Oryzias latipes: one gene and its partners. The main gene of each other region encodes a partner of the protein of the gene in region 2 in a complex. Links are inferred from orthologs where the notes say so. Each region holds a gene or a part of one and is shown on either strand. Other genes may lie near its edges.

Region 1 (3,756 bases), on a different chromosome or scaffold from region 2:
GGTTCATATTAAGGGCTATTTTTATTAAAACAATGACACAAAGTTAGGTGAAATTGTTTTTTAAAAGAGAAAATGAGGAACGCTTCACGAATTTGCGTGTCATCCTTGCGCAGGGGCCATGCTAATCTTCTCTGTATCGTTCCAATTTTAGTATATGCACTAGAGAACTAGTGCAATGAGCCAATGTCTCGGAGTGCTTTTTAAACCCTCCCCTCTGCTACTCTTCTCAAGCATGAGGTGTGATCTGAGGGAACACAGTGGACTTTAAAGGGAACCACAATTAAGACAAAACACCAAAAAAGATCCTCTGTTTCTCCCATGACACAGGATCGTCTCAGGTTCACCATCTCCATTCAAAGTTTGACTTAAATGCTTAAATCAGATTAAAATTACATTTTTTCTGACTTTGTGAGAGACTTCTTGGAAGGATTCTGGGAAAAGAAGGGGGGTTTTGTCACGTCAGACGAGTGCGACTGGTTTCCCGGAAGCGCCAGAACAAAAGGTCGAGTCAACACCCCTCCAGGAGGACCTTTACCAACCCCCACCGCAGCTCCAACCAACCCCCATGTGCTGATGGTTACACACACAGGGGTGGAGACTCTTTCAGACAAGGATCTGTGTGGAGAAAGAGAAAACTGGTCTGATCGCGTCAGACTGACGTCATTCTGCTGCTGCCTTCAAGCAGGAAGCCAAAGCGACGACTCGCTGCAGAAAGATCAGCTCAGAGACGAGAGTCTGTGCTTCTGCTTCCAGCAACAGGACGAACAGAACTCACATGGACCTAAATTCAATAAGAAGAACCCATCAAAGACCAGGATTATACACTTTCATTGGTGCGGAGACGATCCTGAGTGGCTTGCTTCCCTGTTGAGAGCCTGTCGGCTCCTGGTTGAACTAAATTCTGACCATTTCCTGCTTTTTCTCCAATATGCTGCCTCTGAAATTCTTTAAATACATTGTGAGCATCTGTGAGGTAAAATTCTACTTCAAAAATCCTGTTTCTAAACACAAAGATACAGTCATGTTTAATGCAGAAAATACCTGCTGTAGATCTGCCACATGGTGCCGCTGTTTCACCGCTCCACCTGGAGATTCATTACATGGAAGCGTTGCATTCAACTAAAATAAAGAAACGGTGGATCTTCATTATATTTATTCTGTGGAATTTTGTTCCAGTATTTCAAGAACTATAAAGGCAAATAACTTCATTTGCTCATCAAACATATAAGATGAGCTGCAATTAGAAGTTGAGAATGTGTTCGTGTCACAGACACATCCGGTCACCGGTCTGCTTTGTTTTTTTCATACTAACTTTATCCACAAACATGACGTTGGATATAGTTCTATTGACTAGTGTAAACTTTTTATTTGTGTCTGTGGTGAAGCAGAAAACGAGTCACAGCCTGAGTTTACTTCGATGTGAAGCTACAGAGGCAGACGGGGACCGTCAATAAAGTACACCAAAACACCCCAGACAAACAATAGCAGTTTCTCAGTAAGTCAACATAAATAACCTCTAAAACATTACAAGTACTCACTATTGTTCAAACAAACTCCACATAAATCCATACTATTACTTTATTACTGCTTTTCTTAGAGTGAACCAGCGTGTTGGAGTCACCCAAGTTGTAGACGTGTCCTTATCACCTCGCTTTAGGACAACTGCCGTAGTCCTAAAAAAACAGTGATCAAATGATCAAATAACTGGACCTTTTCTACGCGCTTTCTGGCCGTCCAAATGCAGAGAAATTGACGACAAACACCCACAGTCAGCAATAAATAAGAAGTTTAACGTTATTTACTGGAACGGAATGGAAATTTGGTGAAATTAGCGGGCCAGAAACTACTTTCAAATCCGCCATTTATTTAGATTAGAGCTTTGAACGTTAGCAACAATTAAATTTGTTTTTGTTTTCTACTAATAACACATCATTAAACTGTGTTTTCGACAAGACGAGCAACACATCTATTCCGTTATCTCACGAAAGCAGTAGTTATAATCTCGTAATATCGACTTAAATCACTCCAGAAAGTGAACTAATTGAGCAAACACGGCGGCCGTCGTCTTTCGTTTCCCTAAAAGCTTTGAACAATTTCTTTGATCTTAACCGCCACGCATGAGCTGCTCGTCTTCTCATGATTGTCGCATGTGTGAAGCTCAGAAAGCAGAATTCTGCTCCTCACCGTCGTTTGGACTCAGGTTGTTCGGGAGAAGTAGGACACGGAAGCACAAAAGCCGAACCCAGAGCGGTTCTGATCCGAACCTTTCACGCTGGAGTCCAGTAGGTGACTAGTCCGAGACATTCAGGGAACGTCCGAAAAAGAAAATCTCTCTTGAAAAAGTTTAGGAATTTAAAAAACAATAAAGAAAGCACAAGTAGGATTTTGTTTATCTATAAATGGACCCCCCCCACACACACACACACACTATAAAATCATTACTTAAATAAATAAAACAATAAACTAAGAAATGAGGTTTTTAAAGACAAACACAGTAAAAACATTGATTTCCACCTTTAATGAATGTCTGTGAATCGATCAATCGATGACCTCACGCGTTCATGGTTTTCATCCATTTACAGGTTCTTTCTGTTGAGAGAAGAAGTGAATCCCTTCCAGTTGTTTGTTTCTTTAGAAGAATCAGCAGCAGAGGATCTTTATGCTGCAACCGCGCACAGCGGGCCGCGAACTCGGGAGCTTCTGCACGGCGAGAGGAAGTCTTCCTCCGACGGGCCTGATCAGAGTGTTCCAACTTCTCAATCAATCAAATGGCCAGAATTGTTCCAATTTCTAGTATCAAACTTTGCTGTGTCCAATCAGAGAGCCGGATTCGTTCCAATTCCTTCAAATAACTGCCGGTTTTCCATTATTTTAAGACAAATAAATAGTTTGCATTATTTCAAGTGTCTAAAAGAGATTAATGTATTTGTGAAGAAGTGAACTCACGTTGTTACGTGTGTTTTAGTGAAAAAGGAAAAGGAAAGAACATATTTAATACAAAGTTTGCAGGCGGAGATGATTTTGTTTTTACAGGGAACGTTTATTTGCAATAAAAGTAGAATTGAAAAGAAAATATCAAGAATAAACTTCTTTTGAATCAGAACATTTTTAATAATAGGAATATTGTTTCCACAGAAAACTAAAATGTGTGCAGAGATTTAAATGGAAATGAGATCCAGCAAAGTACCAGGAGTGAAGAAGCTGAGAGGAGATTTCTCCGATGATGCTGTGATGATGAACCTGCTGGTGTTTCTGCGGCAGATCTAACCTCTGTCATTGTTCACCAGCAGAAACCTGGAAAAACACAGAACGACCCACTGACTGACTTTGGATGAAGAAAGAGGAAGACTCCCACCAGCTTTCATGGGAGAAGAAGGTCCAAGGTGAGGCAGGTCGTCAGTCTTGGGAAGGGATGGGAGAGGTGGAGTGGTGGATTCTGGACCCGTGCAGAAGCTCATGAGTTCATGTCTCACTTTGTACACTCAGACTGAAAAGGTTCAAATCATAGAAATGCAGGAGAAATCTAAAAGATTTAGCAAAGTATTTGCATCTCTAAATACTTTGAAATTGGGCTGATTTGGTGGTGAGAGATGATGCATTGAATCATTTGGCACAAAGAGATGTGAAAGTACTGAGTAAACAAATTGTTTTGTGCTTTTTTTCAGACTTAATCATCGACAAAACAAAGCTGCAGCTGCAGAACTCTCCGTGTTCTGGACAGATGTGTTCACCAAAGAGGGCAGAACTCTCTCATCA
Region 2 (2,556 bases):
GTAAGATCAAAGAACGTCAGAATGTAGAGACCCACTCTGAACATCTATTTTCAAAGCATTCCAGGTGGTCTTCAGACTAGGAGGAAGTCATTTTTAGCCTAAATCTAAAAACCAAAGACCAGCAGGAGTTCATCAGAAATTCACCCTGAAGTTGTGGGCGGGACCGCTGGCATAGAGTGACCCTTCCTCCATTTCCCATCATGCCTTTGTTTACACCATCTCAGGCAAACCAATTCCCGTCACAACCCCTAACTAACATTATCAGAGAAACAAAAATGTCGACCAATATCAGAGCTATCCAGCCGTACAGTTTAGAGCCAGATTCCAGCTCAGACGAGGAAAATAAAGACGTTCATGGATCTATCTGTAAGAGGATGATCAGAATGGAGTAGCATCCCTACTGGGAATGCTTTGAAAATAGCTCAAAAGATGATCAAATCCCATCTGTAGAAATGTAAAAACTATTGTGTTGAATTCACCATAGCATCTTCCATGTCGTAGCCGGTGTAGGATATGACGGCGACGATGGCGTTTGTGCCGCTTGGATAGTTGTCCAGATTGTAGTGATCGTACATGTAGGGCCTGACGAGGGCGCTCTGTGGCGTCTGTAGTCGGTACAGCTTATTGTCCGAGCGATCCATAAACGAGTGTAGAGGGAAGCCCATCGTTTGTTTACCTGAAACAAACAGTTTAGGGTCAACAATTTCAGGACTTTGGACTCCAAATTGGTGTTAGCCTTCAATGAACATTTCTGATCCCACCCACTTACCCATCTGACACTGGTACATGTTTCTAGGACTCTGGTTGTGGTCTGAGAAAGGGATGAAGTTTGCCACCACGCTCAGCATACTGTGAGGGAAGAGCTCCTGGTGTGTGGTAACTCCTGCTTCAATCTCCTCTTCTAAAATTCCAACATTGGTGTAAAGCTACGGCAGAAAAGTAAACCCGTTTTACTTGGACAGCTGTCCTCCGATGACCGTCTCGATGGCAAGAATGTCTTTCAACGTGCACCAGCTAAACATATACCTGCTCAAAGGTGCCAATGAACTCCTGTTTGCCAAGAGCCAGGTTTTGAACGGGCCGCATCATCCGGCAAGGTGTTGTGAAGAGGAACAGACCTGGATACAAGCTGGCTTTTCCAGTTTTAGGAACCAGGACGATCTCAGTCCAGGGAGGAACCTTCCTCTCCCTCAGCACCTGCACACACGTTAGTCATCAGGTTTCTGCTTCCAAGGTCACTACTTGTCTAACATCCTTCTCGTACCTTGAACCTCCGCATTGCATCAACAACAGCTGGAGCCAAGTCGGTCTCCACCCAGCCAACAACAGAGCCATCCAACACCACAGGGTAGCAGTCAGAGAAGGCCTGAGCAGGAGTACCATCCACCGGAGTAACACCTCACACACCGAAAACAGGACCATTTCCATTTTCAGCCGCTGAGGAGCAATGTGCACTTTGTAAAAATGTTTGGAGCTTACCGAGGGAACAGAGCAGTGCAGGCAGCGACGTGGTGGGACTGGATGCTGCCACCACCTCACAGCTGGCAGTCATGTGGTTCATGAGTCCACAAGGCTCTCCGTCTGGAGTGTGGACGGGACACAGGAAGCCCCAGGACTCGGGCAGCAGCTTACGGACTGAGGTGGTCCTCATCTTGGCGAACGCTGCTCCTCTGTGCACACAGCGGAAGTGAGAAAGGTAGCGGATGAAGTTCAGCTTGTCAGCGACAACGCAGAGGCCCGAGTTCTGCAGCATGCCGAGACCTGTGAAAGAAAACATTTAGAACAAAGCAACTATTGAAGTTTAAAAATATATATATAAAGAGTGTGGATATGCACCCGTCTTAGAATTTAGGTTTCCAGTAGCCAAGAGATATTCAAAAGGTTTGGTGACATCAGAGCCCATGTTCAGCATCTTTATGACATTTTCTGTGCTCCATCCCCTTGCAAACACTTTGGATCCTCTTTTGTCAAAGGACAGCTTCACAGACACCAGCCATGCAGTCATTCTCTCCTGCAGTGTTAAAGACGAGGAACATGAAACTAGAACTTTAAGATTTAAAAGTCAAGGTCATAACATTTACAGTACAGCCTTCCCTCATGTATCCCGGGGGGATACGCTCTAAAAATAGAAAAAAAGAGAGACCAGGATTTCAGAATAAAAACAAAGATCTGATCGCGATTAAATATTTATGAAAATTTGGCAAAACTGAACACTTTCTGTCCAGAAGACACAACACAGAGGAGATTCATTGACAAGGTCTGTAGCCAATTAGAGAACTAGACTGAGTGGCCCCTCCCCCTGGCGTTCCAAACAGGAAGTAGCTTCTGACTCCAAGAATCTAAAATGAAAAGCTGTTACTCAGTCATTCTGTTGGTCCAAATAATCCTTCTTTGTCTGTAAAATTTTTTTTAAAACATTTTCTTGACAATCCTATTTTTTTCCCATATTTTTGTTGTAGCGCAACTTTTTCAAGTTATAAACTGACCAATCACATGACTTAATAAGAGTGGGTGGTTCCACATTGAACGGTCGAAGCATTTGATTGACAGATTCTC
Region 3 (3,756 bases), on a different chromosome or scaffold from region 2:
AGAAATCTAAAAAAAAAGAAGAAGAAAATTGCAGAATTTAGAGGAAAAATTATGTTCAAAAGAGGACAAGGGCTCGTTTTAACACACCTTTAGATAATGTTTAAATCCTGAATGCTTCATCCGTTCATATATGACATTGTAGTCATCCATCGTAGATTTGGGATGATGGTGAAGGATCTCAGTGCTGATTCTCCAAACAAGCTACAAGAAGATATTAAATTTACCTTCTTTTTAAGATACACACATTTGGTGAAGACGCAAAAGCAAACTTGCCTCTTTGTATTGCTGTGCTGTGAGATTAACTCTGTCCTCTAATATTTGTGCATAGCTGGCCATGTACTCTGCTGCCTCCAGCCACCTGTGATGAAGCATGGCTTCTCTGATGTACTCCAGGCACAGTCTGACGCTCTGGTGAAATCCATTTTCGTGCAGAGTCTCTGAAATTATTTAAGTAAAACTTACAAATTAATGAGTTCCAAACAAAAATATCATTTTTTGGCTAATGTAGAATAATTCAGCCAATTAGGGTTTGTTTATTATTGCAATAAAATGTAGATGACATATGTTTTCATGATAAGTATAATCTTTTCAGTGATTTCTGAAGATGTTTACTTAAAAAATACCGTTTTAATGACAATCTGTATGGTGTTATCTGACATATGCTCATAAACCCATATTTTTTTAAAGAGAATTAGAGGGGAAAACGCACTTTTATGGAATATAAAGTGTGTCTTACTTTGACAAATTGGTTGGATCAAATCTAACTTGAATGAGCTTCCTTCTTTTCTAGAGCTGTTGTCACAGGAGTCATCAGCATCATCATCATCATTCTCCATGTCTTCACGAGGGTTCAGTTCTTTCTCCAGGTCGTCCATGTTTGGCTAAAAGTTATGGCTCTTCAACCTACGAGGAGAAAAACAATGAGAGACAGTAAAGCAAAAAGTAGCAAACAGGTCCTTTGACATTACAATTTTTCTGTTTTATGAACATTTTAAAAATCACAAAGATGCTCTTCTAGAACTAAATAACGTGTCACTTATGACCAACTGTCTGCAGATTTTTAGGTGTACAACACAATCATAACTACAGGGGTTGACATAGCCCAGAAATTTGCACTGGCCCACAGGGCCAGTAGTTTTTGAAACTTACTGGCCCTGCCTGAAAGTTACTGGCCCGACACCGCGCATAGCGGGACCCGCCGCTCCGCAGGTGCTTGCAACTTTAGGGGGGTCCGGGGGCATGCCCCCCCGGAAACTTTTAATATGGTGCAATTTGGTGCATTCTGGTGACATCACTTATTTCTACACTTTTCAATGACTGAAAATAGACCATATCAAACTTAAATCTGCTCTAGTCTGTTTCAGATGTTTTGAAGAGAGCACTGCAGTGTAGTAGGTAACACTAGTTCAGAAGTTTTCATGGTGCTTCTAACGGCAAATATCACAATAAATCATAAACCTTAAATGTGTTAAAACAATCTAATGGCAGCTTGAACCATTTAACGAATCAAGTAAATCCCTTAATGCATTTGACCAATCGGATGGACGCCTTCACATTGTTGACCAATCAGATGGAGCCCTGTTATGTTAGATGTTTGTAACCTATGTCAACGTGGGTCATTTGGAGTATAATTTTTAAACTGGGAATGGTTATTTGGTTATTTTTCTGTTTGTTTATATACCGCAAATTATATCGTTATCGCAATTTTAATCTCTGATATCGCATATCGCGAGTTTTCCTCATATTGTGCAGGTCTAACTGAGATCATTCAGCTAACTAGAAATACTTACTGCTTACAGTAAGTATTTCTACTTTAAGTAAAATTAAGTAGTTTAACATTCTACTGCATTTGAGTCTGAGATTCAGGTATTTGGAGTTGCCTTTGATTCTTTGACATTCAGCTTAAAGCTTAGTGCATACAGTTTCATCTTCAATGCATTCATTAAATATCTTGCTGTCCATAGTACTAATTCCACCCATTACTCCATCTAACATATTCCTATCTATTCCTGCCATGTCTTCCACATCTCTGACATGCTTCAGTCTCTCTTCAGTGACGGTGTCGGATTTATAATCAAATGTAATAATAACCCACTGGCTTGTGCCTTCGTTGTTGCTGTTTAACATTGTTTTGTATTGAATTGTTACATTCAATAAAGTTTGAAAAAAAAAGTAGTGAGCGCGTGCCGCGTGGTGCTCCGCAGTGAAAGCCGCGCGCGCGCAGGCGGGAGAGAAGGAGAAGTGATCAAAGGTTTCCCATAGAAACCTTTGAAGTCTGAACACAGGACTAGCAGAAAAACTAAATTATGAAGACGAGGTAAATCTACACGTTTTCGCAAAATTTACTTTATTGAAAAAGGTGAAGAATATATAAACAGTTAGATATTTTAGTGGCCCGAGCGGACAAGTGAAAAGTAAAGTCTTGTGGTCCGCACTGCTCGAAAAACAGGACCGGGCCAGCGGACAAATGGCTATGTCGAGCCCTGAACTAGTAGCTGACATTTGATTTGCTTACCTGGCCAGACTAGCCCCACTGAGGCTCACTGTGTTGAAGTTACCCTACTCGAAAATAAGCGTCAAATTAGGATGAAATTAAGGTCTTATCTTACGGAAATAGGTTTTACCTAAATGGTGTCTAAATAAAAGAGTATGCTTGGCACTAAATTGATATTTCTGATTTAAATAACAAAAAAAAACGTAATTCTTGCTACACATGTGAGATGTTTGTAGCCACCACACTTCCGGTGCAGCTCAGGAAGTAGATTGTGAATCTGTCTTGCTATTGGCTGAATCAACCCAAGGAGGCGGGGCGGAGCAGGGGGTTTCCTCCACGTGACTTTTCACGGTCTCAGAGTTCCTTACTTAATCAATAATAATAAACTACTTACTAAAATATAAGGCAAAGAAAGAGCCAAAATTGTAACTACTGCAAAAAGATTTGCCAAATATTTTTTTTGAAGAAGTAAATGGGCTTCGATCTCTTTTTCCCTCTTCTCTCTTCGGAAATACAGTAGTGTGTACTTGTTGACAGTATTTGTAAATGTATCCACTACTTGTGCTAAGAGCAAAAAATGCATTTTAAATCACAAAGTAAGAAAGCTACAGTGTTAGCAAGATTTATTTATTCTCTCAAAACCTATTTTTTATTTTAGTCAATGTTTTGTTTTACTGAAATTTTTATTATTTTGAAATTGAAGAAACATATACATGTAAGTTTTCTAAAAAAAAATAAATAAAACTAATATTAATAGAACACGTAAAAATTATTTTGAGTTGATATTTTTACAATGTCACGGTATGAAGCTTATTTTTAACCATGTCATTTTTTAAACCTAGTAGTAATTATTTATCTTTACTTTCAATATAAGGAAGTCTTCTACAATGTTTTTCAGTGAGTTATTTTACTATTTCCTCGTAATTGCGTTACTTTTGCTCAGAAAATAATGTTCAGTGGTTTGTTATTGGAGCTAAGTGAGTAATTTGAATGTGGCCACACACACAAACACATTAGAGAATGAGGTCGTGCTTTCCAGTCTTCGTGTTTATTCTGGTGTGGACCTGAGGCTGATTCTCAGGTACCTGAATCCGCCTCATCCATCGATGCGAACCCGTCCGGGCCTCCACCCAGCCGGATCTTAACTGCTGACGTGTCAGCTCCTGCGTCCCACTGCTCATGCTCCGGCGGCGGCGGAGTCAAGTCCGGCTACACTAACTGCCAACATGGCAGCAAAACATTTTTACCGTCTAGGCTTTTTA

The links. The genes of interacting proteins can lie anywhere in the genome.
Region 1: the proteins of polr1b (region 2) and polr2k are in contact, whole or in part, in a cryo-EM structure (PDB 7OBA), measured with the Homo sapiens proteins. The link is inferred for Oryzias latipes from reciprocal best matches to the Homo sapiens genes POLR1B and POLR2K. Residues at the interface, in NP_061887.2 of Homo sapiens: Val87, Ile92, Cys93, Lys94, Glu95, Val98, Ala101, Glu102, Gly105, Arg106, His159, His160, Gln704, Asp705, Val793, Phe794, Gln805, Asp808, Asp809, Asp810, Leu812, Pro813, Phe814, Ile815, Gly816, Ala817, Lys818, Leu831, Val848, Asn851; in NP_005025.1 of Homo sapiens: Met15, Tyr17, Gly20, Glu21, Ser30, Arg31, Asp32, Pro33, Ile34, Arg35, Cys39, Gly40, Tyr41, Arg42, Ile43, Met44, Tyr45, Lys46, Lys47, Arg48, Arg51, Val53, Val54, Phe55.
Region 3: polr1b (region 2) and taf1a share a complex: the UniProt entries of both Homo sapiens proteins name them as parts of the pol I pre-initiation complex. The link is inferred for Oryzias latipes from reciprocal best matches to the Homo sapiens genes POLR1B and TAF1A.

Annotation. Positions count from the first base shown.
Region 1 is NC_019869.2:7,013,705-7,017,460, reverse strand, and holds the start of polr2k (DNA-directed RNA polymerases I, II, and III subunit RPABC4), read right to left. Parts: upstream 2,299-3,756; 5' UTR 2,185-2,298; intron 1,120-2,184; 5' UTR 1,042-1,119; intron 959-1,041; exon of another isoform or gene 479-958; intron 175-478; exon of another isoform or gene 69-174; intron 1-68. UniProt on the Homo sapiens protein: DNA-dependent RNA polymerase catalyzes the transcription of DNA into RNA using the four ribonucleoside triphosphates as substrates.
Region 2 is NC_019873.2:3,647,084-3,649,639, forward strand, and holds part of polr1b (DNA-directed RNA polymerase I subunit RPA2), read right to left. Parts: intron 2,012-2,556; coding exon 1,837-2,011; intron 1,762-1,836; coding exon 1,480-1,761; intron 1,399-1,479; coding exon 1,265-1,398; intron 1,198-1,264; coding exon 1,027-1,197; intron 927-1,026; coding exon 770-926; intron 677-769; coding exon 480-676; intron 1-479. UniProt on the Homo sapiens protein: Catalytic core component of RNA polymerase I (Pol I), a DNA-dependent RNA polymerase which synthesizes ribosomal RNA precursors using the four ribonucleoside triphosphates as substrates.
Region 3 is NC_019882.2:5,957,934-5,961,689, reverse strand, and holds the start of taf1a (TATA box-binding protein-associated factor RNA polymerase I subunit A), read right to left. Parts: upstream 2,758-3,756; 5' UTR 2,516-2,757; intron 904-2,515; 5' UTR 876-903; coding exon 737-875; intron 438-736; coding exon 274-437; intron 202-273; coding exon 88-201; intron 7-87; coding exon 1-6. Other genes in the region: mia3 (transport and Golgi organization protein 1 homolog), read left to right, coding at 3,721-3,756. UniProt on the Homo sapiens protein: Component of the transcription factor SL1/TIF-IB complex, which is involved in the assembly of the PIC (pre-initiation complex) during RNA polymerase I-dependent transcription.